4 linked regions of the Drosophila melanogaster genome follow. The protein of the gene in region 4 interacts with the protein of the main gene of each other region in a pairwise test. Each region holds a gene or a part of one and is shown on either strand. Other genes may lie near its edges. The genes, in order: CG12516, CG43861, eve and dbo.

Region 1 (6,127 bases), on a different chromosome or scaffold from region 4:
ACTCAACCCACAAGTGCGGACTTCGCATAAACTATTCATTTCAGTTCGATAACAAAGCCAGTGCCAAAGCCCCAAGCAGCCCATATGTGTTCATTCCATTGAGTTATTCGCCGCATTAACGAAATCAACATTTAAATTGCAAATTGTGTGCATTTTGATTGAAAAATGCCGCGTTGACGACCCCGCCTCGGATCACAGATAGACCAAAGGAGGTGGAGATTCGGTTCGGTTTGGTTTTGTTTCACTGTACTCGCTGGCAGCTGCTGTCTTCACACATCCACAACCACCCGCATGCAATTTGCTGCTCTTTTGTGCAATAAAAATAACACACAACCAACGAACATTTCATGCGCATTAATGTGCGACATTTGAGAAATGGGCTCTGGACTCTCAAACTCTTCCTTTCATCTGAGTGGAGCATACACGTATTATTTTGTTTCATTACAGGGTATTTGTTAAGTACTTGGATGTATTCCCTTTGATGGAAGATAAGTAACAGTCGAAGGGTAGCAAATAGATCATACGATTTATTTATACTATCATTGTACTATAGAGTATTAAAAATATTTTAATGTATAGTTTATATGTATTATCAATACCATCGTAAGGAATCTGGCTAAAATGCTAGGTATTTTTTATTCGTATCGCAGTCTACCTTTAATATTTTTGCATACCGGAAAAGTGCAATAAAAATGCAAAAGCGAATGCGAATTGATTGAACAGAATCGGACAGGACATATACTTACATTCAGTCACGCACCATGGTTAATGGAGAGGGGTATGTTCGGGGAGGGGAAGGCCCAAGCAAAAGGGGGAAAACGAGAAAATTATTCATTAACACATGCGTAAAATGCGAAAGGAGCATTGCCATAAATAAATAATTGATAAATTGCAGATGAATTTTCATATTTAATGATGTTTAAGTGAGTGGGGCCTGCAAATGCCAGTTTTGTTCGCATCTGGGTGTGCAATAATATTATGTTAAAATATACGATTACAATTCGGAGTTCGGTTTCCTTTACTTCACGTTTTTACGACTCCAGTTGCCTGCGATGTCGCACAAGAGTGCGGCGTATGAAAATTGATTGTTGCTTTATTTATGGCCTCGCACTCGCAGAGTAGACATAAAAAATTAAGACGAACATAAAATGCAATCATGCAGCTCGGTCTGGATAAAAATCTAGCTGCCTTCGCTACATCCCAAATACGTTTAGTCCATTCGTCTGATTTGGTTTTACGTGCGTCGGGAGACTTTGCACGTTCTCCTCAGGGTTGTCATAAAGCGAAACTAAGAAAAAAAAATTAAAAATATGTAACATTAAACTAGCTCAAGTTCAATAATCATACTCTTAAAACTATGCTTAATTTTGAATAAAACATGAAAGTATTATATTCATTTTCAATGCGAAACTTGACAACCCTGAGTCCGGCCTGAAAGGGCGACATTGAGGTCGCTACATGCCTCTTTGGGTCGTGTAATAAAAGGCATAAAACTTTGCCTCTAACGAGCATCGTTTTTACGATCCTACTGTTTGACATCGAACCGAAAAAAATGTGTACTGATATGCAGGAATTGGAAGGAGCTCCCTTTGGAATCCTTGCAGCCTGACAAATGTTAAGCAAAATGAACCCTTAATGATTTGTAATGTGTGCTGGTTTTAAAGTGCCTAAAGAGCAACACATAAAAGGGGTTAACTTGATGGGAGCTTCACTAAATTTAAACCAGATAATTGATCATTGCAACCTAATTAATGCCATCAAACATGATTACATAAATGTCGACAATAATTTATGGACATCAATGAATTCAGCGAACGGAAATGCAAAGAGAGCAAGTTGGTGGAATATTTAATGCTGTTAATAAAGAAATATGGCTATAACCTATGCTAACTTTTATGTTCGCTTAAACTATTTAAACACAATTTTTTCCATTCTACATATTTGTATTGCTCAGCAAAGTGTTCATGCCGCACTGCCAAAGTGTAGACGGTTTATTAGGTTTTGAATTTAGTCAGACACAAAGCAGCTCCATTGTTCCACTCGACTGAGATAATCTTCATCCAACTGCAGGCACTTCAGCCTCGAATGCCCAGCAAAATATGTAATTAAACTTAATGAGTGTAAAATGCTCATGTCCTGGCTCAGACTCGTTCTCGTGCTCAGTTTCAGGAGCTGGCTGCGATTTTGGCAACAGCATCGAATCAAATGCTGTCAAGCAAATCAAGTCATTCATTTGTCAATTAGTTGACAATGGGTCAACTTGAGCTTAACTGCTTCTGCAGGCCAAAACCAAAAAGCAGTTCCGACAAATGCTAGAGCGTAATTGCATTTAAGATTTGCTGAAGTCCAGTCAAGAATTAACTTGGCCTTAGGTCTGCTCCGAGTGGAGTCACATTTTGTAATTTGGTATCGCTGATGAAATGCATTTCATTAATATTTATTTGCCCCAGGCATGTCAAGCAAGACAGCTTGGCTTTGGTTTTCTTCGCTGCCACAGGCCAGTTATTGTGGAAAAATAGCAAAATCATATTCCGCAAAATCCCGAGTCTCAGTCCAAATTTTGTGAAATATGCTGTTCATTTTCGGCTCTGATAGATTAATTTTAATGGAGCCCCGTTGAAATGATTATTTATGTTTATTGTTCTAGGACGTACGCGCTTTAACAAATTTTAATCACTTTTCGTTTTTAAATTTATTTCCCCCCATAAACTCTTTTAATTTTCAAGTAGTATTCAACATAATTTGTGGCGGTCTTAAACCATAATATATTATTTTAATGGTGCGTCAGAATCAGGAGGTTCTTCAGTGTGCTTTTGTTTTTATTTCACAACCGAATTCAAATTTATACTTTCAACCTTCGAAATTATCAATATAGCTATTTAAATTATAGCTGGCATAATGATCAGCCCGGTAATAACTCGACAAATGGTGCAAATCCTGCCAAGTGTTATGGTCGGTAGGATAACACTTCCCGATATTATTGAGGATGCAATCAAGCCCCCAACGGAAGATATTAATTTCGAAGAAAAATCGAATGAGAATGAGGTGGAAGATAATACAGAGAAATCGGAAGCGGTTTCTGAATCCGAAAAAGAGGTAATTGAGGTATCTGAGGAGCCGAAGGAAGAAGAGGTAAAGTACGCTTGGAATGCACCCTGCATGATGGTCATCTTCGAGGATGGCGATGTCAATTGTGCCCTGCATCACCTGGTCGAATCTCTACAGGATCCCTTTGCCTTAGATGCGGTTGCCGTGATCTTGGTACAAGAAGCTTTAGCCGAAGAAATCGAAAACCGAGTAAAAATTCTGATGAAACCCTTGGATGCCAGGGTGGCCAATCATCCGTGCTACAAGCGCACTCTGATGAAGATTGACGAACTTAGGCCGAAAACTATAATAGGTCCTTCAGATCGTGTCTTACCCGATGCCACGCCCATAATGGTGCGGGACATACCACACAAATTTCTGGGCGATGGACCCACTGGCATTATAACCATGCATATTTTTCGCACCCCTTTCGAAGCCACTCAGATATATAGAAAGGAATATCCCCTACCAATCGCATCGGTTAGTATATGGAATGAGCGGGTTTCGAGTGTTTACGATGTAATTGGCATGATGAATCTACTCGATACCTTTAAGATCAACTGTTTCACGGTCGATATGGAGCCCATTAAGCGGGCATTCGAGCTAAGGAAGTATAGTGCTTGTATACATCGTGGTTATCACTATGAAACCCTGCCCATAAATGGCGAGAGAAAGATTATCATATATCCAGTTGGAACTATATTTGGCAATTGAAGTGTAAGCTGGGTAAATACAATACCATTATTCGAATCTTATCGCCACTTATTTAATTTTACTCAAAAATGAATGGTATCCTTACCAATTAGGGAATCATTCAATCCTTACCTTTAGGTGTTGTGTCAGTATCTAATGCATGCAATCTAATTCAATGGGCTGGGGATTTCAACAGCTATTTACACACAGAAAGCCTGTTGAGAACATTCAACTCGCACTTTTCGTTCGCTAATCTAAATTAATGCCTCTCACTGCGAATCGGAATAGGCTGTGCAGCGATGTTTTATCATTCAATTAAAAAAAGGGAGGAAAGCAGCTAAAAACGCGTGCATGGCAAATGCGCGAAATAAACCAGAGGATTTTCGCACATTCCCCTCTACGTAAAAATAGTGGGCGGAAGAGTGGAAGCAATTTGCACCACCCAACGGACGGAATAATGAAGTGTTTAGTTGATTATCTAAACGCACGGCGCCGTATCCGGATCCGGGAGCACTGGGCCTAGTAGTGCTGGAATTGCTTGGGGTTTTCGGGTAGCGGTTGAGTCAATAATGCGCCAAATAAACAGCTAACAAGTTGGTAATAAAAGAACTCTAAAATTGCCCGAGGTCCGACCGATTTGGTAGAATGCCAGGCCCCACCCATCGAGCATTTATTCACCCACACGCAACTGCAGGTAGTGGCAGGTAACACCGGCCTGAAAAGTTCCAAACAAAAGCACAGCCGTCGGCCATGGCGAATATAGCCATATATAGAGGCGTTGAGTGCCGCGGGGGCGTGGCACGCATTGTCTGCAGGTAAGCCTTTTTGCGGTGGTGCCCACCGCTGAGCAACAACGCCACGCATTTGCATTGATAACCGAAAATGTTGGGACTTGAAACGAGTTTAGTTTGGCCTGCTTTCGTGTACAACTACTATATTTCACCGGTAAATCAAACAGACAATGGGCTTGAAGCCCCGTAGATTGTTGGAGAACAGCTGCGGTCAAAATGATGTAAACTGGAGCACATGAAAGTGTGGGCATTCTTAAACATTGTGTATACGCCATGTTATCGAAAAACACAAAAACTTATTTTTCGTTGCATACTTTTAGGCATATAATGCATTATGTACACGTCAGGTAAAAAGAAGTCGTACACCCCAACAGCCTAGCAAGGAAGCTAGGAACTGCAGCTGTGGTCAATGCTGACCCTCGGACTAGAGTCAAAAGAAGACTCAAGCGACACCACCCTCATGACCTCCCTAACCTGGTTTTGACCTAGAAAGTCTTAGTTTTAAAATTCATTAGAATAATCAAATAAATAATAATTACTATGTTATATCAACTATTATAATTCTCCCTATCTTTTTTAGGATTAAAAATCTGTTAGTCTTAAGTAACCAAGACACATTGTAAAATAAAATAATTTAAGCAGATCAAATTAAGTTGCCGCATGGGTAACAGTGCGTTGATCAAATAATAAAAACATCATCGTAAAAAAAAAAAAAAAAAAAAAAAAAAAAAAGGTAAAAAGAAGTCATTTTGTTGTTATTGTTTCCAGTGCATACTTTTAGATCGATTTGGAAATTATGTGTACGCCCTGTTAACCTAAGCAATTAACACTAAATTCATAGTTTTACGCAGTTTACAACATGTCGAATACTTATCTTACAATTAAATTTTTTCTAATTTCTCTAGATTAATTTTAAAAAATTCTGAAAAATTAGTTAGTTAGTTAGTAGTTTCAGCAGCTGCTACTAGTTACATCACCGCAATTGTTTTCCAGGTAAAAGGAGGCGTATGCGTAAAGCCTTTGGTTCTCGGCTCGCCACGATGTTTACTGGATGTCTTAATTAAATTTGATTAGCTGTGTGCGCAAATTAGTTAGTTTTGCATAGGAATTGATGAGCGTGATGAGTTTGCCGACTAATTGGCTAATTGATTGATTGTTGGAGTGGTTGCCTCTCCTCAAAACATACCACCCAGAATGTTTGCCTAATTGCGCTTCAAATGCATTCGCTCGCTCCGAAGTTGGTATTCTTTGTGTGCATTCACTAATGAAAATCGAATGAGGGCTCAGGAGCCAACGCTGCCGGCCAGCAGTCAATCAAAAATGTATTTGCCCAGTCCATGGATTGCCGCTGCTGCTGTTGCTGCTGTAGTTGCTGTTGGAGCAGTTCTGCTATTTGTTTTTAAATATTTTCAGTAACGCAGATTCCTTAGCTCGGGCAGCGCCTGCATAATACATATCGGAATAACCTTGGTCCGAAATTCGCCAAAAGAATAACTGCGCATTGTTTGCAAAGAAACAACTTTGCTTTCTGCCTTGGCTGACTGGCTGACTGGCAT
Region 2 (7,732 bases), on a different chromosome or scaffold from region 4:
CCGCCCGTCTGCGTTTGTGATATATCATCCGGCTGCCGGTACGCAGCCAAGGACACCTGACAGTTCCACCTCATCCTCCCACCCCCATCTAGCCACCCAGCCAGCCACCCATCCGGCCACCCATCCTGCCACCCACCCAACCACAGGCTTGAGTGAGAAATGTAAAGCAGTGGGACAGCGGGAATCTGCATCTCAGTCAACTGGTTTTCACGGCTCGTTCCCGATGGCAGACCTTTTGGATTCTGCCCAGGGAATCCTTGGATGTTTATGTTCGTTTAAGAAGACAACTTGTTGCTAAACAAATTCTTAGCTGGCAACGATTTTAAATGAATGGTTGGGTCTACAAATGGTTTGTATGATATATCCACATCCACACAGACCAACCACATTCACAGCTATAAAATCCATAAATAGCTCAAGAGCTATTATCAAACCACTTTCATGTACGCTCACTTCACAAGAGTATATCAATCCCAATGAATCCCACTTGAGTTGGCGATTCTGGTTTTCACTTCGGTCGGTCTTAGTAAGATTGTTGTTACAGTGCGTGGTCAATCGGCATAATAAATCATTATAACGCCCACCGAAGCCAAAACTCCGATCACCGATTAAGTCATCATCAGCACAGGGCCAGAAGACCGAAAGGAAATTAAGTGGACTCAGCGACATGGCCAAGATCGGCGGTGGAAACAATGCGTCGTCGTCATTACTGGCGTGCCCAAAACTCGCCTTGGGGTCAGGGTCGGGTTTGGACCTGGGTTCGGGATCGGTTTCTCGACTTCTTCGGCTTGACGGGGTCCATTGACGCCAGCCGAGCGCCGTTGGCGGGGCTCACTTAAAAACTAATAGAGATTTAATCTGTTTGACTTGCCAATGAAGTCATTTAGAATGTAAATATTGCGACGAGTACAGATGGCTAAAGCAGCGTTCTCAAATGGAGCGTTCCGAGTGTGCAAAGCCTGTTTTAAGCTGAATGGAAGATAGTCTTATCCATAAGGAAGATACTTCTAATCTATTTACTTTTCTACTAACATTGTGACTTAATATGAGGTTAGACAGGAAAACTCAATAGAAACTTGGGTTCATTGGCTACAAGATTGGGTTTCGTCACCTCACAAGACGATATACCTGTTATTATCCCCACTTCCTGGCTTGCAGTTCTTTTCTAACACCGATTGCATCAAAGTCCTCCTCCGCTCAAGTGGATTATGTTTCTTTTTGCATCTTGCAACTACTACTACTACTATTACTACTACTATCGCCTGTCCTGAGGCACCTGTTGAACCCACACCGATGGCCATATTATTTACCTACATCTCAATCTCAACCATAATCACAATATTTACACCTTTCTCCGTCGCTCTTTCGATGCTGGCTTCCGCTCCTCGATGGAGGAAACAGTGTTACACAAATGCAAATCAATTGTAAATACAAATAGAAAACCTGGCCGAAAGCAGTGGAGCAAAAGGTAACATTTACTATAAATAACAAAACACCGTTAGCCTGAGGAAATCTTCGCCAAAGTTGGAGTAGTAGATACACCTGAAAACTGCATACAATCGATGTAAAAATTTTATATATAAAATTTCTCGATGCTATACAAATGAAATATAATTTGGTAAGTGTCCTCAAGTTTTGAGTAAACTGTGGCTGAAAATGCACTTCTACTTGTTTACCTAAAATGTTGCCAAATAGTTAGTTGCACAGTTTTTCTTTCGGTATTGCGACTGCAACTAGAAGCCTTGCGTTTTCTTGCCCTGGTGTGAATTTATTGCTTAATCATGCGACTTTAAAACGGCACGGCTGGCAGGTAAAGGCAGCTGGGTTTTGGATTCGGTTTTAACAAGGTGAGTGCTTGTCCAACTGGACGCGCTCCGTTTTATTTTCTGGCCATATTCTACGGCATCTTGCCGGTAGAAGAACGAAGTTCATTTGTGACTGCAGCTCAGTGTCGTTTGTTTTATTCGCCGAGTGGATGATGAATATATAATATAGATAGATAGATATATAGATAGATATATAGATGGTTAGATAGATAGGTAGATAGATAGATAGATAGATGGTAAGATAGATAGATAGATAGATAGATAGGTAGATAGATAGGTAGATAGATAGATAGATAGATGGATAGATAGATAGGTAAATAGATAGATATATATAGATAGATAGATATATAAATAGATAGATAGATAGACAGATAGATAGATATACAGATAGATATAAAGATAGATAGATAGATAGATCAACCGATAGATATATGTTAGATAGATAGATAGTTTGATTGCAACCTGCCAGCATGTTCGATTCTGGGCTGGCATGTTGAAGTTCGATTCGAACAAGCTGGTGTTTGAGTCCAACAATCTTGGGCTTAAATTCTTCTTAAAGTATAAAATAACAATTCCCTTAAAATTGAGATTTAGAGTTTTACTTTTGAGTTCTGGCTAAACTTATTTTTATTAGATAAACAACAATCCTACTTCTCGAACCCTTGCTTCTGCCTCTGCGGTCATTTTCGTGACCAGATTCGGAATTGTGAATAGTTAGGTTGTGAGCTCTTCTAGAACAGCTGATATGCAAATATGATAGAGGTTAGAATTGACCATGTTTTGATTATTTATAAATCAAATCAAGTATTAATAATATCATGTGATGATGAATTTTGTCGATTTAAAAAATGTGAAAGTTTTTGTTAGGTATGTAAATAGCAAACTAATAACAGAGGGAAATTTAGTTCCGTGTAAATCTTTCGACAGAGAGTCTTAGAACAGGATGTCTTGGAAACTAAAAGACGTGAGAATTAAGAACAATGCTAAATAATTTTAAATGAAATATATCCATTAAATATTTCTTATTAATGAGATATTTAAATAAGGATTTCTTTACACAGTTCAGTATTTTACATCGAATTTGAATATCACTCATACGCCTGTGTTAAAAATTATATTTTCACCTGGTTAGGAAGGAGAAAAACTGAACGGAGGCAAGGCAACATGTTCGAATCGAACTCGCGATGCTTTCGCGCGGGTAACTAACTGCGAACATAAAGCTCACCACTCAGTCTAAAAACGAGTTTCAACGCGTTCGGCTGCCGACCCGCTCGATTTTTGAATTCATTTTTTGGCCAGGCCCACTGAAAAAAAAAAGAGAAAAAACCAATCGAAAACAAAGCCTCATTGCGCCCCATTAGGCAAATGCTAAATTAGTCCGTTGTGTAAAGGTGTAAAGCATTATTTTGTCGAAATTCGCCTGCCGCAACAAACCCCATTTGCTTGTGTTGGTTTAAGCCCAATTGTTTGGCCAAAGTACCGCGGAGTTTTGTAAAAATATTTCTGGAAAATCTTCCCCAAAGTGCAGTGATTGTGTTTGTGTGCTCGTATCGTTTGTAGAACGGTAACAGGTAAAACAACATCAACAATCCGAGTCCGAACGAGCGGCCGATGTCGGTGAATATAACCATTAAAATGAAGTTAAAGTCGCTCCCGAGCTGCATACAAATGCTGCTGTAAATAAGTCTAAACAAACACTTGCATTTGGTGAGTTTCAATTGCCTCAATGGGCTTTTTTTTTGGGTCTGAGGTCGGGGGTGTTGGCCACATGTGGAATAAATCATAATTAGTGGGGCTTAAGTCTCGAATTGGGTTATGGGTACAACGGAAACTTAAGTGTGGGAATCAGTGCTAGTTGTCTTTATTTGTGAAACTATTTCGAACTGCGTTAATTGTGGCCCAGTGGTTGCCGTGTATACTTATCGCATTAGCGCGCTCAAGGAGCTGGAAATAATAGATACGCTAATAGATACATATGTGGTTTTAAAATTGGAGTAGATATAAGAAATCAAAATAAATATTCAAGCTACTTTTTCGCTTTACCTTGCTTAACAGGTACTTTAAATTGTGTTTTGATTTTAATCAGATACATTTCTGACCATCTGCAAGTTTATACTAATCCAAAACTATATCTATATAACTATATAACTCCACACCAACTTTTCCCTTCACTTTGTGAACACATTTTTCGGGATTACATTCTAAACAGAATTTCCGTTAGTATGAACCAAAATGTAGCTACTTAGTTTTCCGTTTTATTTGTTTCATTTTCTACTGCTCTCTGACAATTTTTGTCGCGAAAAAGTTTTTGGGATAGAAAGTTTATATTGTGAGCTAATTTGAGTTTGCATGGATAAAAGGGTAGAATTACGTTATATTTGTAAGTGTACATTTGGCCATGTGAAGCCATTTACCAATTCCAGGTAGTACACATTGTAGTCTTGTTTAAGCCGTTAACTCTGGGCGGACTTGAGTTCCTTGACTCTCGGTACTGTTCTGAATTATATGGAAGCAACCCGCAAATTTTCAGTGCTTGTGGAAATTATTTTCCGACAGTTGCTAATAAACCTGCCTACTTCATGGGCACAGCTCGCAACGGTCATTACTCATGCCAAATCTTCTGTCACTTCACACCTTCTCCGTCTAATTCTACGGTCAACTTGTCAACACGATGTGAAGTGGGGTCTGTGTGCGTGAGAGCTCTTAAGCCTTATGCAACAGCTCAAATTAGCCATGCAATTTGTACTTAACTATTTGCAGCGTCTTGTTGCAAGTTGGGGTCTTGGGGAATCGAAATGGAGGCTGGCGACTGGGGGCTGGTGACTGGAGAATGGAGAATGGAGAATGGGGTAATGGCTTCCACAGGGCACTCGCTGCAGAGGCGGGAATAATAAAATGTCCAAGGACTTGGAGCGGACAAGCGACAAGTTTATCACTTGTTAAGCCAAACGCTGCAGACATGCAGCCGGCTTCATCCTGCACCATTCCTACCCAGACGCCCAGTCCTACTCCTATTCCTACTGCATCCGAGCACCCCGCTCCGGGAATCCAACTCTAGACAACGTCGGCGTCGAGTGGCAGGCCCAGATGGGCGCGGCAGATAAGGAACTGGGCCCAGACCCAAAAGAGCAGGCCAAGAATAGGGCGTTCTGGGTCCGATCCTATTTGCATGCCACTCGCTTGAAGTGGGCCACACTCGGTCCGGATGAAAGCGGATATCAGAATACACAGAGACAAGATGTGAAGCGTTTGTAATCCAAATCCATTTACTCATCCGATCTTAAGTCCTCCAGGGAGGAGGTAGGTGTACTTTAAATCCTAATCTGAGTTTGGCCTCATACAGTCAAAATGTATATAAGATAAAACAAGAAAAACATGCATTTTAGTGCAATATATGTTGGATAGTTTGCGAATACTGGCGTTCGTCACCAAAGTTTCCTGATTTATTTTCTGTGCACGATTGGATGAGACAAAGGAAACATATAAAAAACATTTATTATTAATTGGTGCGTGCTAGTATTTATAAACCTGCTTTACAATTTCATGTAAATTATTTCTTTTATTCGTAAAAAGCTAGCCATATTGCATTAAAATACATCCGAATTTTTTTGTTGCTCTACAAACAACTACAAAATAGTTAATAATATCTTTAGACTGCAATCACTGTTTGGAATAAAGTTTTGCCATCTATAAGCCATCAGGCAAATCGTTTGCTATTATATTCATAATCCCAATCTAAAGCCAATTGGATGCCATTTTTGAGTATCCTTAGGCAGCTGGGACTTAAAGTTGAGTCTAACGATATGGTCCCGACCTTTTCGGGAGTTCCTCGAAATGGGATATCATCCACAGCCCGTCGCCCAAAACGGAGGCTTTCGCAGACGCAGCTGCTCCTCTTTCATTTGGGCCATTTAAATAATGGCTGCAAATGGCTGGGTGACAATAAAGAAGACCGGCAGCCACCACAAGTGAAGTTACCCAACAAAGCAGACTTCGGCTATAAATAGTTGAGAAAAAGTCAGGAAACGAATGTCAACTGAAAAATTACGTATACGCAGACATCGATGCTCATCGATAGTGAGACATGGGCTCGCTTTCGTTTCCGCTGTTGAGTCGAGCGTGTTGACTTTTCATTTTCCAATTTTTATTTAAATTTTTGTCTGTCGAACGGCGTCACTCTTGTTTATGACCATTTAATTGACACGCTACCTGGCAGTCGAAGCTCTTCTGGGAATATTTCCATTTATTGAGGCCATGGGACATAATTGATTATGAACTGGGGAAATTGTGCCAGTCAATAAAGAAAATCGCACTGTCAAGATCGAGGAGACAGCAGCTTTAAATGTGTGCACATGTCTGGTTAGCATTTTGGAAAATTGTGTATCAATGTCACTCAAGTGCAGCGTCCTTCGACTTCGAAATTTGATCCCTTTCTAATTAAAATATCTGTCCTTAAATATCAAACACAATGCAAATATTATGAATGTGCAAATATGTCAACGAATTATCCGTCAGATTGTCAGTAAGGAAATCTAGGAAGTCATTCTAAATGAAATGTTACACTGGAAAACAATATTCGAGGAATCGAAGATATGCATTCAAAAATAGCATGTAAAGCAATAATTCAAGTTATCATTTAATTTTATAATTTTCAGCAATATATAGATTTATTTTCTAAGTGCACCAAACGAGCCATTAGAAGGTAAGCAATCAGTTAATCTACCTCACAACTCAAGAGCTACAATTGAAATCCTCTATTAAATCAGCTCTCCACTCACAAGAGCACTTTGTAATTAACTCTTACAAATCTATTAGAATAAACTTTCCCAAGAAGCTCGACCAATTAGTATTATTAAAGTGTTGTGCTGTTCGCAGGCAAGAGTCCCTCCATTTAGCCAGGCCAAAAGAACAGGTGGCTAAACAATGCTAGTCACTCCTTTGGATCTGCCCGAGGTCGTCACTTTGATTTGCACAAGGTATTTGCAGGGAGCAGCAACAATGGCATTGCTTTTACGCAACTTTAATTAGCAGGACAAACAAGCTGTTCTGACACGCCAGGAGGTAATACCTTTGACTACACGCCCACCCACCCCTCTCGTCCTTTGGATGGCGTTTTTCCCTGGCAACCGGACAACCGTTGACAAACGGAAGGTAGCGGGAGAAATGGCGGGGTTGTTGTGGCACCCAAAATATGCTAAACACAAAGTCAGAGTTGAAATTTAATTAAAATGTTGCTGGCAAAAGCATTGAACTGTGGATATGCAAAATGCTCGCTTTCAGGGCCCATGCTGCGTATGCGCAATTTTTTGCCTATTACCAGCAATTAATGCGGCTATCTTCTTAGGCAGCCTGCTAATTGAATTTTTGGTTGTCCCAAGGGCTTCTTTGAGTTTGGCAGTCGCTGACCCTTTTGTTTTTCCTCTCGCACGTGTCCTGCAAAATTGATAAGCCATAAATATTCGTTATGCCTAAAAGCAACAGTTTGGCCACACAGCATAAACATAAAAGGGATGCCAATGCCCCCAAAAACCTTCTTTTCAGCTTGAATTCTATCCCTTTTCTCTCAAACAAAATGCCCAACAAAGAGCACGAAAAGTTTTGTTCTTGCAAGATTCCATGTTATGCTTCATTAACTTAATGCTGTTTTCACAATAAATTTTCATTCTTTCCATTTCGGCGCTAACAAAGAGCATTTCAAACACGCTTATGCTAATCCCAAGGAATTTCCATTTCGATTTTTCCCCTATATCTCGATGGCTTCCTGGTTCTCCTGTTGTTGATTTCGCAGATAGTGTGCATAATTTGGAAGTTTTCTTCCTTTTTTATAGCAGGACTGCAACTGGCTTAGATAACCATAAATGTTGCACGAGTGTTGAGGATGCCGAAAAATGATTTATTTTGCATGT
Region 3 (7,017 bases), on a different chromosome or scaffold from region 4:
AACTAGCAAAGCGGACGCGCCTTTTTATTGGTGCACCTTCGGCGGAACCGCAGGATAACAGCAGTAAAAGCGACGACGAGGACACAAGGATCCTCGAAATCGAGAGCGACCTCGCTGCATTAGAAAACTAGATCAGTTTTTTGTTTTGGCCGACCGATTTTTGTGCCCGGTGCTCTCTTTACGGTTTATGGCCGCGTTCCCATTTCCCAGCTTCTTTGTTCCGGGCTCAGAAATCTGTATGGAATTATGGTATATGCAGATTTTTATGGGTCCCGGCGATCCGGTTCGCGGAACGGGAGTGTCCTGCCGCGAGAGGTCCTCGCCGGCGATCCTTGTCGCCCGTATTAGGAAAGTAGATCACGTTTTTTGTTCCCATTGTGCGCTTTTTTCGCTGCGCTAGTTTTTTTCCCCGAACCCAGCGAACTGCTCTAATTTTTTAATTCTTCACGGCTTTTCATTGGGCTCCTGGAAAAACGCGGACAAGGTTATAACGCTCTACTTACCTGCAATTGTGGCCATAACTCGCACTGCTCTCGTTTTTAAGATCCGTTTGTTTGTGTTTGTTTGTCCGCGATGGCATTCACGTTTTTACGAGCTCGTTCCTTCGGGTCCAAAATTATGCCAGTTTGTTTTGTCTCTGGCAATTATTGGAAATTTCATTGGGTCGATTTCGCTGCCTTCCTTGCTCTTCCCTTGAGAAAAGTGAATAGGTTGTGCCATAAAAATCGCTGCTCCTGAAGACCAAATGAAATGGATTTGTGTAAGCATTAAAAACGCGAGGCAAGCCCCAAGATTCCTCCACTGCTTTTTTTATATTGCCCACTGCTAAATGCAGCTAATTCGTCGATTGTTTAAAAATTAAATTACTTATGTTGCCATTCATACATCCCCTCACATTTTATGGCCATTTGAGTGCGGGGTGCACAGTTCTGTCTTAAGTGGCGGATGGAAACCACCACATTTACTCGAGGGATGATGTGCTCTAATATCTCCTCATCAAATGGGATGGTTTCTATGGAAAGGCAAAATCGTTGTAAAGTGAGGCGGAGTTAAAAAATACCTTGTTATAGCCTTTTTAAAATAACACAAGATCGTTCGAATTGACTAGAAATATCAAAGTCTTTTTGTATTGAAGCGAGTGTAGTCTCAATTTATGCTTAATTTTAAGAAATACATCTCTTTATTAGCCCCAAAATGAAACAAATGGTCTACTAATTAAGCAAGTCAACAGAATTTTTATGCAATTATTCAAAATGAAATAATATATACATAAGATGTTTTTGGGAATCTGTCATGGGGTTTCTGAAATAGGTTTGCCAAACAAATTTTAAGTATAAATGTATACATATGTCAACTAATAAATTTAGCAAATAAAATGTACCTGCAAGTATCTATAAATTTATTGGACCAATTTTGTGTAAAAAACTGAACTGGCACTCTTCCCAAGAATGGGACTTCGAGGACTCCTTGCTGAATCACTTACTCAACCCATTCCAACTCATCCAATCCGCGCAATCATCATAAATTTTGGCCTTTTTGTTGTAATTGTTTTATGGCAGAAATTACTCAATCATCAAGCATAATTCCCTCGTTTTCGCCGTTTTATTGCCAATTTTTGCACTGCCTTTGCCTTTTTCCCGCCCTTTCCTCAGCGTTTTGCGAATCTTTGCCGGCATTTCTATTGCGCGGACAATCCGGCCAGTGTGTTGGCCATTTACTTGCCATGATGACGGGCATAATCAGCGAGATCGGCGCTTTGTGAGTGCAGAATGTGCAATAAAGCGGCAACAATCGGCAGGGATTCGCCTTCCCATATTCCGGGTATTGCCGGCCCGGGAAAATGCGAAAGTGTTTGCGGATCGAGATGGAAGATAGAGGATTGAGTATTGAAACGAGGAAGGTACTTCCGCCGGCGGACACTTTCGCCTAACCAAGCCAATCCAACCCATCCCAATCCAATCCAACCCACCCGATCGCCATAAAGGGTATTTACTGTCGCTGCCGCAGAGCCTCGCTTGACGACTTAACCCAAGCGGTCGTTTCGCGTCCATTCTCCGGACGGAGTCAAAGACAAAGGCCGGCGGAGGTGGACAATAGGCAAGGTTGTTGCTTGTGGGTAGGGTTTGAGCTATGAGCTATGAGCTGTGAGCTGTTAGCCCTGAACCCCGAACCTCGAGAATTGAACCTTTCCCGGGGCAAGAAGGCTTGCATGTGGGCCTTTTCCAGGTCGGCCAGTAGGTAGAGTTGTTGCGATGCGGCTATGCCGGGCGAGTTAATGCCAATGCAAATTGCGGGCGCAATATAACCCAATAATTTGAAGTAACTGGCAGGAGCGAGGTATCCTTCCTGGTTACCCGGTACTGCATAACAATGGAACCCGAACCGTAACTGGGACAGATCGAAAAGCTGGCCTGGTTTCTCGCTGTGTGTGCCGTGTTAATCCGTTTGCCATCAGCGAGATTATTAGTCAATTGCAGTTGCAGCGTTTCGCTTTCGTCCTCGTTTCACTTTCGAGTTAGACTTTATTGCAGCATCTTGAACAATCGTCGCAGTTTGGTAACACGCTGTGCCATACTTTCATTTAGACGGAATCGAGGGACCCTGGACTATAATCGCACAACGAGACCGGGTTGCGAAGTCAGGGCATTCCGCCGATCTAGCCATCGCCATCTTCTGCGGGCGTTTGTTTGTTTGTTTGCTGGGATTAGCCAAGGGCTTGACTTGGAATCCAATCCCGATCCCTAGCCCGATCCCAATCCCAATCCCAATCCCTTGTCCTTTTCATTAGAAAGTCATAAAAACACATAATAATGATGTCGAAGGGATTAGGGGCGCGCAGGTCCAGGCAACGCAATTAACGGACTAGCGAACTGGGTTATTTTTTTGCGCCGACTTAGCCCTGATCCGCGAGCTTAACCCGTTTTGAGCCGGGCAGCAGGTAGTTGTGGGTGGACCCCACGATTTTTTTGGCCAAACCTCCAAGCTAACTTGCGCAAGTGGCAAGTGGCCGGTTTGCTGGCCCAAAAGAGGAGGCACTATCCCGGTCCTGGTACAGTTGGTACGCTGGGAATGATTATATCATCATAATAAATGTTTTGCCCAACGAAACCGAAAACTTTTCAAATTAAGTCCCGGCAACTGGGTTCCCATTTTCCATTTTCCATGTTCTGCGGGCAGGGGCGGCCATTATCTCGCTACAGCAGTTCCCAAATGGTTATGGCTGGACACCCCTGCCGCCGCTCCAACGGGGTGGATGAAGCCCCCAAAACCCGAAAGTCATGGCAGCCATGGCAGTGTGGGGCTGTTAAACGTGCGGCATAATATTAAGACTTCATAAAAGCGCAAATAATTCGCTGGCAGGCGATCGATAATACATACATACAAATATATAGTGGGATACACACACTCTCTGCCGGCAAACACACACCACCCGACCCGACTGAGCGGCATAATGCCATATCATTCTTGATGAAGCCGATAAAATCCCATTATTAAGGGGGCCCGCCCGTCCCGCTCGCTCCTGCGGAGCAACCGCCTGCGGGCGGGCGAGACAAAAGATTCGCTCATCCGCTATGAATACCAAATCGGAACTCTCTCTCTCTCCAGCTCGGGAGTGCCATGGCCAGCATGGCCAGGACCTCCTCATGGTCCTGCCGAGCAGAGAACGCGGCTCCATCCCGCTGCTCCGGGTCCTGCTCCTCCGCTTTGTCCCGCCTCGTTATCGCCGCTCAGCACCGAGAGCACAGCAGCGCATCCACTCTCAGCACCGCACGATTAGCACCGTTCCGCTCAGGCTGTCCCGCTCGCACCTGCCTGGGTCGCTGCGATTGGCCGCTCCCAGCGACGGCGGCCATTTGCCTGCAGAGCGCAGCGGTATAAAAGGGCGCGGGGTGGCTGAGAGCAGCACACTCGAGCTGTGACCGCCGCACAGTCAACAACTAACTGCCTTCGTTAATATCCTCTGAATAAGCCAACTTTGAATCACAAGACGCATACCAAACATGCACGGATACCGAACCTACAACATGGAGAGCCACCATGCCCATCACGACGCCAGTCCCGTGGACCAGAAGCCCCTGGTTGTGGACCTCTTGGCCACCCAGTACGGCAAGCCCCAGACACCGCCTCCCTCGCCAAATGGTAAGTTTAAAGATAAAGCCGAGCAAACGTGACGAGTTACTTACACCCAATCTTTCCTCTGTCCAAAACAGAATGCCTATCCAGTCCGGATAACTCCTTGAACGGCAGCCGCGGCTCGGAGATTCCCGCCGACCCGTCGGTACGCCGCTATCGCACCGCCTTCACCCGTGACCAGCTGGGTCGCTTGGAGAAGGAGTTCTACAAGGAGAACTACGTGTCCCGTCCCCGTCGCTGCGAACTGGCCGCCCAGCTGAACCTCCCGGAGAGCACGATCAAGGTGTGGTTCCAGAACCGCCGCATGAAGGACAAGCGTCAGAGGATCGCCGTCGCCTGGCCCTACGCAGCCGTCTACTCCGATCCCGCCTTCGCCGCCTCCATCCTCCAGGCCGCCGCCAACAGCGTGGGCATGCCCTATCCGCCCTACGCCCCCGCTGCTGCCGCCGCTGCTGCCGCCGCCGCTGCCGTGGCCACCAATCCGATGATGGCCACCGGAATGCCCCCGATGGGCATGCCCCAGATGCCCACAATGCAGATGCCCGGACACTCGGGACATGCCGGCCATCCATCGCCCTACGGACAGTACCGCTACACGCCCTACCACATCCCCGCCCGCCCGGCGCCGCCACATCCCGCTGGTCCTCATATGCATCATCCGCACATGATGGGATCCAGCGCAACGGGATCGTCGTACTCCGCCGGTGCCGCCGGCCTTTTGGGCGCTCTGCCCTCCGCCACCTGCTATACCGGACTGGGTGTGGGTGTGCCCAAGACCCAGACGCCGCCGCTGGATCTGCAGTCGTCGTCATCGCCGCACTCCTCCACGCTGTCGCTCTCGCCAGTGGGATCCGATCACGCCAAGGTGTTCGACCGCAGTCCAGTGGCTCAATCCGCTCCATCAGTTCCTGCTCCCGCTCCACTGACCACCACCAGCCCGCTGCCCGCTCCAGGCCTCCTGATGCCCAGTGCCAAGCGGCCTGCCTCCGACATGTCGCCGCCGCCGACGACAACTGTGATTGCGGAGCCCAAGCCGAAGCTCTTCAAGCCCTACAAGACTGAGGCGTAAGCCCGCGATCCACACACACTCTCTCCCCCCCCCCCATGCTCCCCCAAAAGATTGTACAAACTAGTCTTAGTCAGCCTCATCTATTTATTCCCGAAGATTGTACAGATTGTAGAGTAGCTAATTGTAGTCATAATTAAGGCGCAAAATCAAATTAAGAAATAAATGCGAAAATAACATTGAAAATTATACGACACACACTGTTTATTTGAACTACCTGGTACCTGGTATTATCTACATATATATCAACATATATTCATATACCTGAGCTGAATCGCTTTTATGGACCTGGCTCTCTGGATTAGCTGTGGAGAAACCTGGCGGGACAGCTGCGCTGCTGACTGCTGACCTTCCCAGGGAAACTGTGGCAAATCGAACGGAAGAGCGGCAGAGCGGCAGAGCCGCAGAGCGTGCCGAGTGTCCTTCGGAGTGGCCACCCACAATCAGGAGTAAGGGTTCCCGATGCGGCACCGGCGGGGAAGGGAACAACATCCACGGGGGATTGGCACAAGCCAATGGCTTATTAATGCGATCCGAACGGATCCAAGCGGGAGGGCCCATTGCAAATGCAGAGCCACCCCGCTGGGCGGCGACCTTGGCGAGGAGTTGGGCCCACTCCCTGCCACGCGTCAGGTTGCATTGCCAATGGAATCAATTTCGGTGTCCTCGGATTGCATTGGGCTCGGCTAATTAATTGTCACCTCACCCGTTGAGTGACTTTTTTGTTTGTTGGTCCTGGCCTTATGTTTGCTTTCTCTTCTCCATCGCCAGGCAATTGTCATAATTGAGAAATCATCGGAAGGACGAGCCAGTGCGAGAAAGAGACAGAGAGAGAGAGAGAGAGGGCTGGTGGTAGAGTCCTTCTCGAATCAAATCCCAATTTAATTACCGTGCAAAACATGTGTTTCAATTGCTCAGCCGTGGTGTAAAGGGGTGTCAATTGCTCATAATCCCACAGCTAAAAAACGAGAGTCAACCCAAAGGCAGGATAAACGATGGGTAAACGATGCGAGCGAGGCACAAGGATGTAGATACCAGCCACGGATGCTGATACACCCAGCCAGCCACCCCTGATCCCGGCTGTGTCTAATATCTAATTGAGCGCCTGGCATCAAAACATGTTTTGACACTTGCCAGCCGAGCCAAATGGGCATAAAAAATGGTCCTTGAAGTGTTATCCTTGCAGTTGGAGTGCCACGCACACACCCCTTTCCTTTGCTGGTGTTTTGCGGAGTTTCGTCTCGTGTTTTCACTTGGGGGATGCGAACACACAAGTGGCAGCATTTTATGATTTGATAATAAAGATACGCGCCACGGTTCCGCCCTGGGGAATTCCCCAGCAGATTCGGATACAGTAAATTAAAAAATAGCCAAACAGGAAATCTCTGCAGGATTGCCGGCGGGGGAATCCGATTGCTGGGTGGTTGACGCGACGTGGCGCAGGTTGATAATTAATCATATGGGGATTAGGGATTAGGCTTGTTGAAATCCAGAAATCATCAAGTTGTTTATTGCAAAATTATGCGACTAGCTGCCCGAATGGCAGGCGAGAGGATTAGTTTGTCCAAAGGGCAGATGGGAACTGATGAATCCGAATATCACATCTACAGCTGCTCGTCCGGCGGCATAAAAGAGTTAACTGATTTCGAGGGAGTAAGTGTGATATTATTATCAATTAGGCATTCGCCTCTAATTCGACATATTCTCCGCCAAAGAAACGAGAATCTCGATATTTCCAGCGTTTATGGGGGCAATCAATGCTGCGATCCAGTGGATACATGACCGCGCAGATGCCCAGATACCCAGATACTCAGATA
Region 4 (10,199 bases):
GAAAGTGTGACTCTTTCGAGCACGTACTACACTTTATGCTTTGTATTTACATATATTTTATTATTTTTATAGTTTATTATGAACCCACTGGAAGTGTACCGCTTATCATCTAGAGACCCGCCTACCGTTATCATCCTTGCTGCTACTGCCGACGCTAGCAGAGGCAGAGACGGCGGCAGAGGCAGAGGCTGTGACGACAGCGACGGCGTTATTGATCAGTGGTGCGATTTCCATAATATTTATTTAGATATCGGAGCTCCGTTTGTTTATGTAATACACTTTATTGGCTTTACTTTTTGTGTTTGTCTTTTTCGCAAAATATTTTTGTTTGTTTGTTAATTCACATTCGCGTCTCTCTCTGTCTGCACCAGTCTTTCGATACGCTTGTGTGTTTATGTGTGAGAGAGCGCAACTGTGTGTATGTGTGTGAGAGAGCGCAACTGTGTGTGGGTGTACGAATGTGAGTATGTGTGTGTAAGCGTTTTGTCACGTATTTTTACAACGGCGTTGCTTTTGTAGTAAATATGGCTGCCAAGTTTCGAAAATTTCTGCAATCGTCCGCTTTTGTCGCACGAATTTAAATTTCCAATGCAATTTTTGTACTTGTACTCTAGTTATTCCATCGGTTGCATTACATCCTTTTGCTATTGTTCTCTCGATTTTCGCTCTCTTTCCCTCAACATGTTTTGCATTTGCATTTAATTCTGTTGTTGCTATTGCTGTTTTTGTTGCTGTGTCGTCGTTTTTGTTATTGCTATAGTCGTTGTCGTTTTTGTTGTTTGTGTTCCACTCCATCCACAAAATAATTGAGTGCGCTCCACTTTGGTGCGAGGGAGACGGAAAATTCTTCGCACGCACACAGTCTCACGTTTTTCCGTTTTCTTTTCTCGCCCAGTTCACGTACTTTCCACTTTCCAATCTCAAATTATTATTTGCTCACCGAACTTTTTCGCGATCTAAATTGCCTTTATTTACACGTTGCACTTAAAATTAGCTACTATTTTGCACTATTTAACGGGCTTTTCAACTGCTCAAAACTCGCCTTCCTCTTCAGCGTCGCGTATAGAAATAGTATGAAATAAAAAATACCAGCATGCTGCTCACTAAGATACCAAAATATACCGTTTCTTTAGCGACCAGGGAAGCCAAATACAGTTGGCTCTGTGATAAATGTACTCTTACAAAGCCTGTCTTACGTTATTTGCTTATTTTTTCGGGAATATTAAAAGACAGTTTACTAATGAAAATTTTAAGAGATTATTATAATGATTTCAATAATTCACAGTTAGATTCCCTTCCGTTGCACTTACTTGTAGTTGTATACAAATAGTGTTTATTTTATTTTTAATTATTTAAAAATATGTGATCTCTTATTTTAATTTCGAAAAAAAATGTGAAGAGATATTTCAAACAGATCTCCTTAAAATTAGCTTACGTTTACGATTTAATAACAATATCGATATAACGAAATGTCCACCAAAGTATCACAATATAAATAAGTGTATTCTCAAAAATATCGATACACTGATATTGTTATGCATTTCTCACATCTCTATCGCCATACCAATCGTTTCGTGTTTCGACTTTTCCAGGCCAACCAAAAAACGATTTTTCCGTACTGAAAAGTGCAATTCGCGCAAGGAAAATCTTCGATGTGGTCCTTTTAAGCCATCAAGATTGCATTTTCGAAATTTTCCGCCTGCAGCTGGCCCTGGACGTGCTTTGTATCCGTAGAGAACAGAGACGCAAAGGTTGGGACACCAACATATACATCGAAATCTAAACCAACATCATCCGCGTGTGTGTGTGTGTGGTGTGTGCTTGTGGGTGGACCAGGTTACCTTTCAGTTTTAAGGTGTTCCATGGAGTGAATGTTGTAAAAGCGATTGAACATATATCACATGAATAAAAGAGATTTCAGTTTTAATTAAATTAGGTTGAAGATAATTCCACAAGCATATTATTGAACTAGAGAACTGTTTATCTTAACCATCGATTAACTCAACCTGCCAATTTGTTTACCAATTAAAGTACATGTTTTAATTTTAAAACTTAGCTATTTTAAGATTCAAAACAGAAGTTTCAAGTAACGATCTTTTAGCTTAAAGTTTCTAAATATTTAAGGATTATTAATATTTATTTTATATCATTTATACGAATGGTGGATTGTTAAACTTAACGTGTTGAATGAATACCTTAAATAACACTCGTATTAGTGTTAAGATGTTTCTTTAGTCGAAAGGTCCACCTTAGTATCCGCAGATCCGAAGTTGTGAATGTGTGCGTGTTACACAGCATGTCTGTGTGTGGGTGGTGCAAAAGGGCGGAGGACAAGAAAAATAAATCAGAATTTCCACATCCAGTGCCCAGAATATGAATTATTTGCATCAAAAATGTACAATTACTTAATTTATTAAGTAAACAGTCGCTTCAAGAAGATATTAAACGAAGCACAATGTCCTTGTAAATTGATTAGTTACTTACTTACTTATAATCGAGTTCAATGCCGCCCTTCTACGCCCTACCTACGCATTGATTTAATTTACTTTGACTTGACCATTAATCACTATTCTACTATATACTACCATTTCTGCCCACAGATAGACGCCGTGTGGGGTTGGGTTGCTTCCGGCCCGCTGCGCTTAGCAGCGAACAGAATGGGCGACCTGCCGGGCTCGGGCTCCACCGCTCAACCACGGGATGCTGGTAAGGATTTGATAGGAGCTTGGTTTGGAATTGGGAAGAGAGCAAGCCAGGGGCAACCTGTGTGCCTCATGTGACTTTAAATACTTCATATTTGTTCGTAAGACTATGATCTTTCAGCTAAAAAATACTATTAGAAAAGGTTTTTCCTTCATAAAAAAGTATTTGAACTCTCATTCACAATTCCAATTAATCGGTACCATTAAGTTTATTTGTACTATTCCAAACATATGGTATTTTTATACTCAAAATCATTATGTATGCCAACAGCTGTCACCGGTACCGGTGGTAATTCCACGGCTGGTGGCGGCTCCTCCGTTGGATCTACGGCAGTGGACCGACCTCCGTCGCCCGCCCGCCTCTCTCACACGTCCGAGAAACATCCGAAGGTCACGCTCACTGAACTAAATATGCTACGGCGCCATCGGGAGCTCTGCGATGTGGTGCTCAACGTGGGCGGACGGAAGATCTTTGCCCACCGGGTAATCCTGTCCGCCTGCAGCTCCTACTTCTGTGCCATGTTCACTGGCGAATTGGAGGAATCGCGCCAGACTGAGGTCACCATACGCGACATCGATGAGAATGCCATGGAGCTGCTCATCGACTTTTGTTACACCGCCCACATAATCGTCGAGGAGTCGAATGTCCAGACCCTCCTTCCCGCCGCCTGCCTGCTTCAACTGGTTGAGATTCAGGACATCTGCTGCGAGTTCCTCAAACGGCAATTGGATCCCACCAACTGCCTGGGCATACGCGCCTTTGCCGACACACACTCCTGCCGGGAACTTCTACGGATCGCCGACAAATTCACGCAGCACAACTTCCAGGAGGTGATGGAGAGCGAGGAGTTTCTGCTGCTCCCCGTCGGCCAGCTGGTGGACATCATTTGCAGCGACGAGCTAAACGTGCGCTCCGAGGAGCAGGTCTTCAACGCGGTCATGTCCTGGCTCAAGTACAATGTCGCCGAGCGGCGACAACATCTGGCACAGGTGAGCTACTGTAAACCATATCTGATTACTACTCACCGATTCCTACTTGTTCCGTTTGATAATTACTTTGGAATAATATAAACAGCTCAATTTTTAAGTATTGCAACTAATAAATAAATAATGAATTGATATTTTCGAATATTCTCAGGTGCTCCAACACGTCCGTCTGCCTCTGCTGTCGCCAAAGTTCCTGGTTGGCACGGTGGGCTCTGATCTCCTGGTGCGCAGCGACGAGGCCTGCCGGGATTTGGTGGATGAGGCTAAGAACTATCTGTTGCTTCCGCAGGAGCGACCGCTGATGCAGGGTCCACGCACCAGACCGCGAAAGCCAACTCGACGAGGCGAAGTCCTGTTCGCCGTGGGCGGTTGGTGTTCCGGCGATGCTATTGCCTCCGTGGAGCGTTTCGATCCTCAGACCAACGACTGGAAAATGGTCGCTCCCATGAGCAAACGACGCTGCGGAGTTGGCGTGGCCGTGTTAAATGATCTACTTTACGCCGTGGGCGGTCACGATGGCCAGAGCTATCTGAATAGCATCGAGCGTTATGATCCACAAACGAATCAATGGTCCTGCGACGTTGCGCCCACCACTTCCTGCCGCACCAGCGTCGGCGTGGCTGTGCTCGACGGCTTCTTGTACGCGGTGGGTGGCCAGGATGGCGTTCAATGTTTGAACCACGTGGAGCGCTACGATCCAAAAGAGAACAAATGGTCGAAAGTGGCACCGATGACAACAAGGCGACTGGGAGTGGCGGTAGCCGTGCTTGGAGGATTTCTCTACGCAATTGGCGGCTCCGATGGACAGTGCCCGTTGAACACCGTAGAGCGATATGATCCCAGGTAAATCATAAATAAAGCATTTAAAAGCTTTAGACGTACAAGTACATTTTCTATCGCTTGTAACAAATGACCTTAATGTACATTGCACTTGAACGTAGTATTTGTTTGATTTACATTGCCCCGATTTTATCATTACAGACACAACAAATGGGTAGCAGTCAGCCCGATGTCAACGCGACGCAAGCACCTGGGCTGTGCTGTGTTCAATAACTACATTTACGCCGTCGGCGGGCGAGACGATTGCATGGAGCTCTCGTCCGCCGAGCGCTACAATCCACTGACCAATACCTGGAGCCCCATCGTGGCCATGACCTCCCGCCGCAGTGGGGTGAGTTTTTGTTACACTTTTTCTCGGCGAATAGTATTGTATTAAATGAAATCGCACCATTTTAGGTTGGCCTGGCCGTCGTCAATGGACAGCTGTATGCTGTGGGCGGCTTTGATGGTTCCGCCTATTTGAAAACCATCGAGGTCTACGACCCAGAGACGAACCAATGGCGTTTGTGCGGCTGCATGAACTACCGCCGACTGGGCGGCGGCGTGGGCGTTATGCGTGCCCCTCAGACTGAGAACTATATGTGGTGCGAAAATAGTTTTAAGCAACCGAATTCCTGAAACTAACTCAACTCCCATCCCTTCCATTGCTGATGAAATGTTGTCTTGTCTCTCTTTTCCCCCCGAAAACATGCTAACAAATTCAGGATACGGAAAGATTCTGTTGTCTGATGGGAACAGCAGCCGACAACGTTGCCCTCGCAAACGTTGCCGCCGCCGCACTTCTACTAACAATATCCGCAATCGAAGCCAAATCTAATCGACTAAACAAAACATCTTTTCGCCCCATTGTCTACTAGCAGTGTAATCGCTTTGTATTAATTGTTAATTGTTTATTTGGTAGAGCCTAAAGCGCATGTTTGTTAGACTTTTCCGGAATAGTATTAGAGTTAGCATTGTTCCCACGTTCACCTGCAATAACACATCCCCATCACTCCTGTGCGTAATTATATATGATTCTACTGTATGTTAAGCAAGTATATTTTATAAATAACTTAATATCTAAATGTTGCCGGTGGTATTTCATGGAAATCGCTAGCTCATAACCATGCCTTCTTTCGAAAAAAACAAAACAAAATCAAATATTAACCTAGAAACGAATTCGATTAGTTGTAAATCCTTAAACGAAGAGCTCTAAAGTCAAGTAACAAATTGGTATTAAAATAATTTAGATTTAAGGAGTGAATTCAAGAAAGTTTGTCCGAAATTAAACATCACAATGGTGCAATATTTCGATCGACCAACTAAACGCTGTTGTTTAGTCAAGTACACTTTAAATCTTTGCAAACGTCTTCAATAATACCACGACTATATGAAGTGAACCGAATAATTGCAAAGAATTTAAAAAAATAATGAATATTCAGCCTGTCAAGCTTAAAAAAAAACCATTAAGGTAATCACACACACACACAATGAAGAAGTTAGACCTAGCCCAAGATAATTCAATAGTAACAATTAACAATTACGCAGCCGTAAGATCAACTTTAAGGTAATAAATTTTAATATTGTTAATCCTAGATCGTGTAAACCGGTAAGAGTTTTCGGCCGGAATCAGGTCAAGTTTTAAGATGACTTATTGTTAAACCAAGTTTGACCATCGAGCTGAATGAACCAACTCGAATTAATCGCTTAGATAAGGGAGTTAAAACACAAGTAGACTCTCAATAACAACACATTTTCTTTGTTGCCTTTTACACCAACACTATTAAACAATTATTTATTCAAAATTATTATTTATTACACGCTTTCGTATCTCATTTAGTTTATTTTAGGTGCACATTTATAAACTGTTGTTAAATCGAGCAAAAAGGAATGATCTTTGCTTCCAAATGATGAATAAGAATAGCATTTATAAAAAACCAAGCTTATTTATATTATAGCTTTAAGTCAAAATGGTCAACAATTATACAAAAATTCGCATACCACCCATTATGCGTAGTTAAAAAATAACATTTCCTAGTTGTGTTGAGTGGTAAAAGTGCTTAACGCAAATAATAGAAGTGTTAACCTAAGAAATGATCGTAAACCCGTGCTATGTATAAGAATATATAAAAATAAAAATATATCAAAATTAAGACACTTTGTTTCATTCAATACATTACAGCCAAGGGCGGAAATTGCTGCCAAAAAATAATTAAAAATAAATATCCAAGTGTACTATTTTGTATTATATTCTATAATTTATAAATTTGTAATGCAATCAATGTACCGTTACGCGGTACTGGTACGCATCGGTACAATAGTTACGATATTGGATCCTTTACCGATAGCCGATGCTCGAACCCGATTGTTTTTGTTTTAGGCCTTAATTCGCACACACTGATTTGGTGGCACTACACACATTTTGTTATTTTAAACATTTTTCAAGAAGTCAATATTATGATAACAATTTTATGAAAATAATTGAACTAAATGCATTCGGAACATTTCGATATACACTGCCGACCAGTGTGAACGCTTCGCGACGTGGAGAAACTTCAGGCACGTCAGCTATCGATAAATTAAAATGTGTATTCGATTAGCGTACGTTAAACAGCTGTTTATTCTGGCGCTCTTTCATACGTTCGCTGAAATAGTTTTGTATTTCTGGCCGGAAATGATGTCCCAAATTCCGGATTTGGCCGGCGGAAATGGGCAACAGAAGCGAAAGATTCTGAGCGGCGGCGAATACAATAAGATTTGCCGGTTTATCAACGGCTTCCACGGCTTGGCCATCGACTGCGAGTTCGAGTTGAGGAATCGCTTCTTCAGGGACGTGGAGCCAATGGCATTGACATGCATCCTGCAGTCGGAGCTTTTTAACCGGTCGCGTGGTCACTGGAAGCAGGATCAGCGCGGGAAAAGGCTTCTCAAAGCGTAAGGCCACAATCTCGTGTTCTTTCCTGACACCATGACCAATAATAATCCAAATTGCTTGGATTCAGCTACGAGGAGCAGAAAAACCTATACTACGACAATGCCCTACTGATCCGAATGGCTTGTGCCGAAGCACTGAACCCGGTGGCTCTCTGCAGGATGTTGCTGCAGGAGAAGTACAAGGATCGGCATCGATCGCACATCTCACAGCTTCTTAGGCATCCGCATCTTATCGACGATCCCAAGCTGGCGGCCAATGTGCAGCAGTGCATAGTCAGCGACAATCAAGAGGGATCCATAACGGACCTGCGACGCCGCATAGTTGGCGAGGAGTACGAGCTTAAGCTTAAGAATCTGGCTAAGGAGGCGGGTATCCATTTCTACGACGAGAAAGATTTGCGACGCATGGGATATGACAAGACGCCGGACATCAAGATGATCCTGCCATTTCTTTACAAAGGCTCTGTGATCAACTGGATCGAGAGCAAGGCCAATTTTGGGGACACCAAGGGACACAAGTCGAACATCCAACAGCAGCTGCAAAGCTACTGCAATCGGTAATATGAAAGAATTCATTCTATAACTATTCTAATTACATATATATATATATATATATTGTCAGTTTTGGTCCTGGAATGATAATCTATTGGTTTGGGTACCACGAGGAAACGCCTGCGCTGCCGGATAACAACATTGGCATTACAGTACTCGCTGATTTTCCGGCAAAAGAAGATTTGGTTTTTATGCAACTCGCGCATGAAGAATACTCCGCTGAGACTCCGACAACGAAAGAGGACAGCAGTTCCGGGAGTCAACCTATTGTAGCTGAATGTCCAACCAAAGAACTGAAAAAACTTTCATGAAACTGAAAGTGCAGGGAAATCGTTAATGTATACTTTTTAACTATAGAACGAAATGTGCTTGTTAAAACAATGTACATAGAAAGCCTAAATTTTAAGTGGGATGTTGCCAAATGTTAAGTAGCATTGAAACCATCAAAGACAGGAATGCTTTGCATTTATACACTAACCATAAGATTAGACAATGCTTCTGCAGCAATAACTTTTCTCTTTAGTTTTAACAATTATACTGTTTTTATTGTATTTATAAATTCTCATTTACATGATGTATTCAAAGGTTTTTTAGTAAAAAAATCGTATACAAAACTACGACATTGTCAGCATCGTTGTTCATAATAGACCAAATCAAAGACAAAGCACAAGTAATTATTGTTACTCAAATTGCTAGTTGCCTTTCAGGGAAAATAAAAATCAAAACAAAAGTATTTATTTTACTATGTGTAAATTTTCTTTGTATTGTTGTGGTAGCCATATGTGTTATTTTCAAAGTATAAACCAAAAGTCAGCAGTGTGTATATAAAAAATTCAGCTGGGCCCTTAGCTTTGGAAACTATGTTCTAACTTTACGCGCCCTCCTCTCATCGACTTAAATGTTGATGTTTGTTTTGTCGGGGCTGTTGTAAAGTTATTGTTTCAAAAGTTTCGTACTGGTAGGAAATTCGTCGATTTCGATCAGCTTGATATATTTATATATGCACGCAGCCACATCGGTCATCAGACCTCCTTCAGCTCATCGGGCATGTCATTCTTGGGATGCTTGTTCTCGAAATGCTGCTTGTAAGTCTTCGGATCGGGCATTTGCGACTGAAATGGAGACGAGATTCGATTAGGTTTCAAATAAACCACAAAGTACGAGTAATAAATATAAAATAAGGCATTACTATAACATTCATCTGAATCGAATTCTTTAGTTTAAAGCTCCTGAGATGTCGAATGTTTTGCGATAAATTTTCTTTAGTATTTGCGTTTTAAAACCTCGACGTTAAAGTAAGCGAGTTCTTGCGTGATTCTTCGAGCTGTCTCAAAACCATTTGATTAACCCACTGCAGTTGCTGACTTAGGGAGGTTTCACTGTAGCTGGCTTACCTTGCAAACGGCGCACACATAGACAAGTGCCTTCTGGGCCGCCTTCTTCTGGTCGTTGGCACTGTGTCCTTGTTGCTTCTTTAGTTTGGCCTGCTTCTCGGAGGCCTTCGCCTGCGACTGGATCTTCTGGTGTCCACGTGCCATTTCTTGCTGTTTAAGTGGAAATGGATGAGTTAGCATATGTAGTAGTACCGTCTATGTGCTTCACGGGATTCGCAACAAAGGTGGCGGAAGCGCAGTCACTTTCACTTTCTCCCACACAGCTGAATAGGTGACTCTTGGGATTACCAAACGGAAAGCACAGTTTCCGGTCAGTATACTATAGTTAAGATACCAATTATTTATGTTTTGGAAAATCTGACACGACACTGTACTCGAACAACAACAAAGCACGCCCACAAGTGAAAATGTGGATTGCGACCACGTTCTGCGCCCTTTTTGCGAATCCACCGCTGCTTACCTAATTAACCCGATTAAATTTGGTTGGCTGTACTAAATGCAGGTGTGATGCAGCCTTTGCAGTTACGTAAAATTCGTTGTTACAAACTGTTTTGATTTTTTACCCGAAATTATTAACGATTAACCGTAAATTTGTATCAATTTGTCGGGTTTTGTTTCGCTGCCAGGATTAAATGGGACCAGAGCTGAACTATATCCAAAATGTTTGGGCATAAATATATGTGGGTTCGCGTCTTGGACTAACAGCTATCCTGACTTAAACCACTTAACGGTACTCGTAATAAATTTTCCTATTTCTAATTATTTGTATAATTTTTAAGCATTTCAACATTTTTATTTTTCGTAATAAAAT

What was found.
Region 1: the proteins of dbo (region 4) and CG12516 interact in a two-hybrid assay, tested with the Drosophila melanogaster proteins (one large-scale study listed by BioGRID).
Region 2: the proteins of dbo (region 4) and CG43861 interact in a two-hybrid assay, tested with the Drosophila melanogaster proteins (one large-scale study listed by BioGRID).
Region 3: the proteins of dbo (region 4) and eve interact in a two-hybrid assay, tested with the Drosophila melanogaster proteins (one large-scale study listed by BioGRID).

What each region holds. Positions count from the first base shown.
Region 1 is NT_033777.3:28,301,339-28,307,465, reverse strand, and holds CG12516 (uncharacterized protein), read left to right. Parts: upstream 1-2,860; 5' UTR 2,861-2,898; coding exon 2,899-3,801; 3' UTR 3,802-3,835; downstream 3,836-6,127.
Region 2 is NT_033779.5:20,012,621-20,020,352, reverse strand, and holds the start of CG43861 (uncharacterized protein), read left to right. Parts: upstream 1-3,070; 5' UTR 3,071-3,533; intron 3,534-7,732.
Region 3 is NT_033778.4:9,975,414-9,982,430, forward strand, and holds eve (even skipped), read left to right. Parts: upstream 1-3,905; 5' UTR 3,906-4,001; coding exon 4,002-4,140; exon of another isoform or gene 4,141-4,171; intron 4,172-4,211; coding exon 4,212-5,203; 3' UTR 5,204-5,382; downstream 5,383-7,017. UniProt on the Drosophila melanogaster protein: May play a role in determining neuronal identity. May be directly involved in specifying identity of individual neurons.
Region 4 is NT_037436.4:15,825,346-15,835,544, forward strand, and holds dbo (diablo), read left to right. Parts: upstream 1-1,542; 5' UTR 1,543-1,751; intron 1,752-2,600; 5' UTR 2,601-2,657; coding exon 2,658-2,706; intron 2,707-2,973; coding exon 2,974-3,692; intron 3,693-3,840; coding exon 3,841-4,532; intron 4,533-4,670; coding exon 4,671-4,860; intron 4,861-4,925; coding exon 4,926-5,147; 3' UTR 5,148-5,233; coding exon of another isoform or gene 5,234-5,258; 3' UTR 5,259-6,659; downstream 6,660-10,199. Other genes in the region: DCP2 (decapping protein 2), read right to left, coding at 126-234; CG12713 (uncharacterized protein), read left to right, coding at 7,183-7,442, 7,511-7,999, 8,065-8,305; CG18081 (uncharacterized protein), read right to left, coding at 9,017-9,106, 9,389-9,532. UniProt on the Drosophila melanogaster protein: Probable substrate-specific adapter of an E3 ubiquitin-protein ligase complex which mediates the ubiquitination and subsequent proteasomal degradation of target proteins. May have a role in synapse differentiation and growth.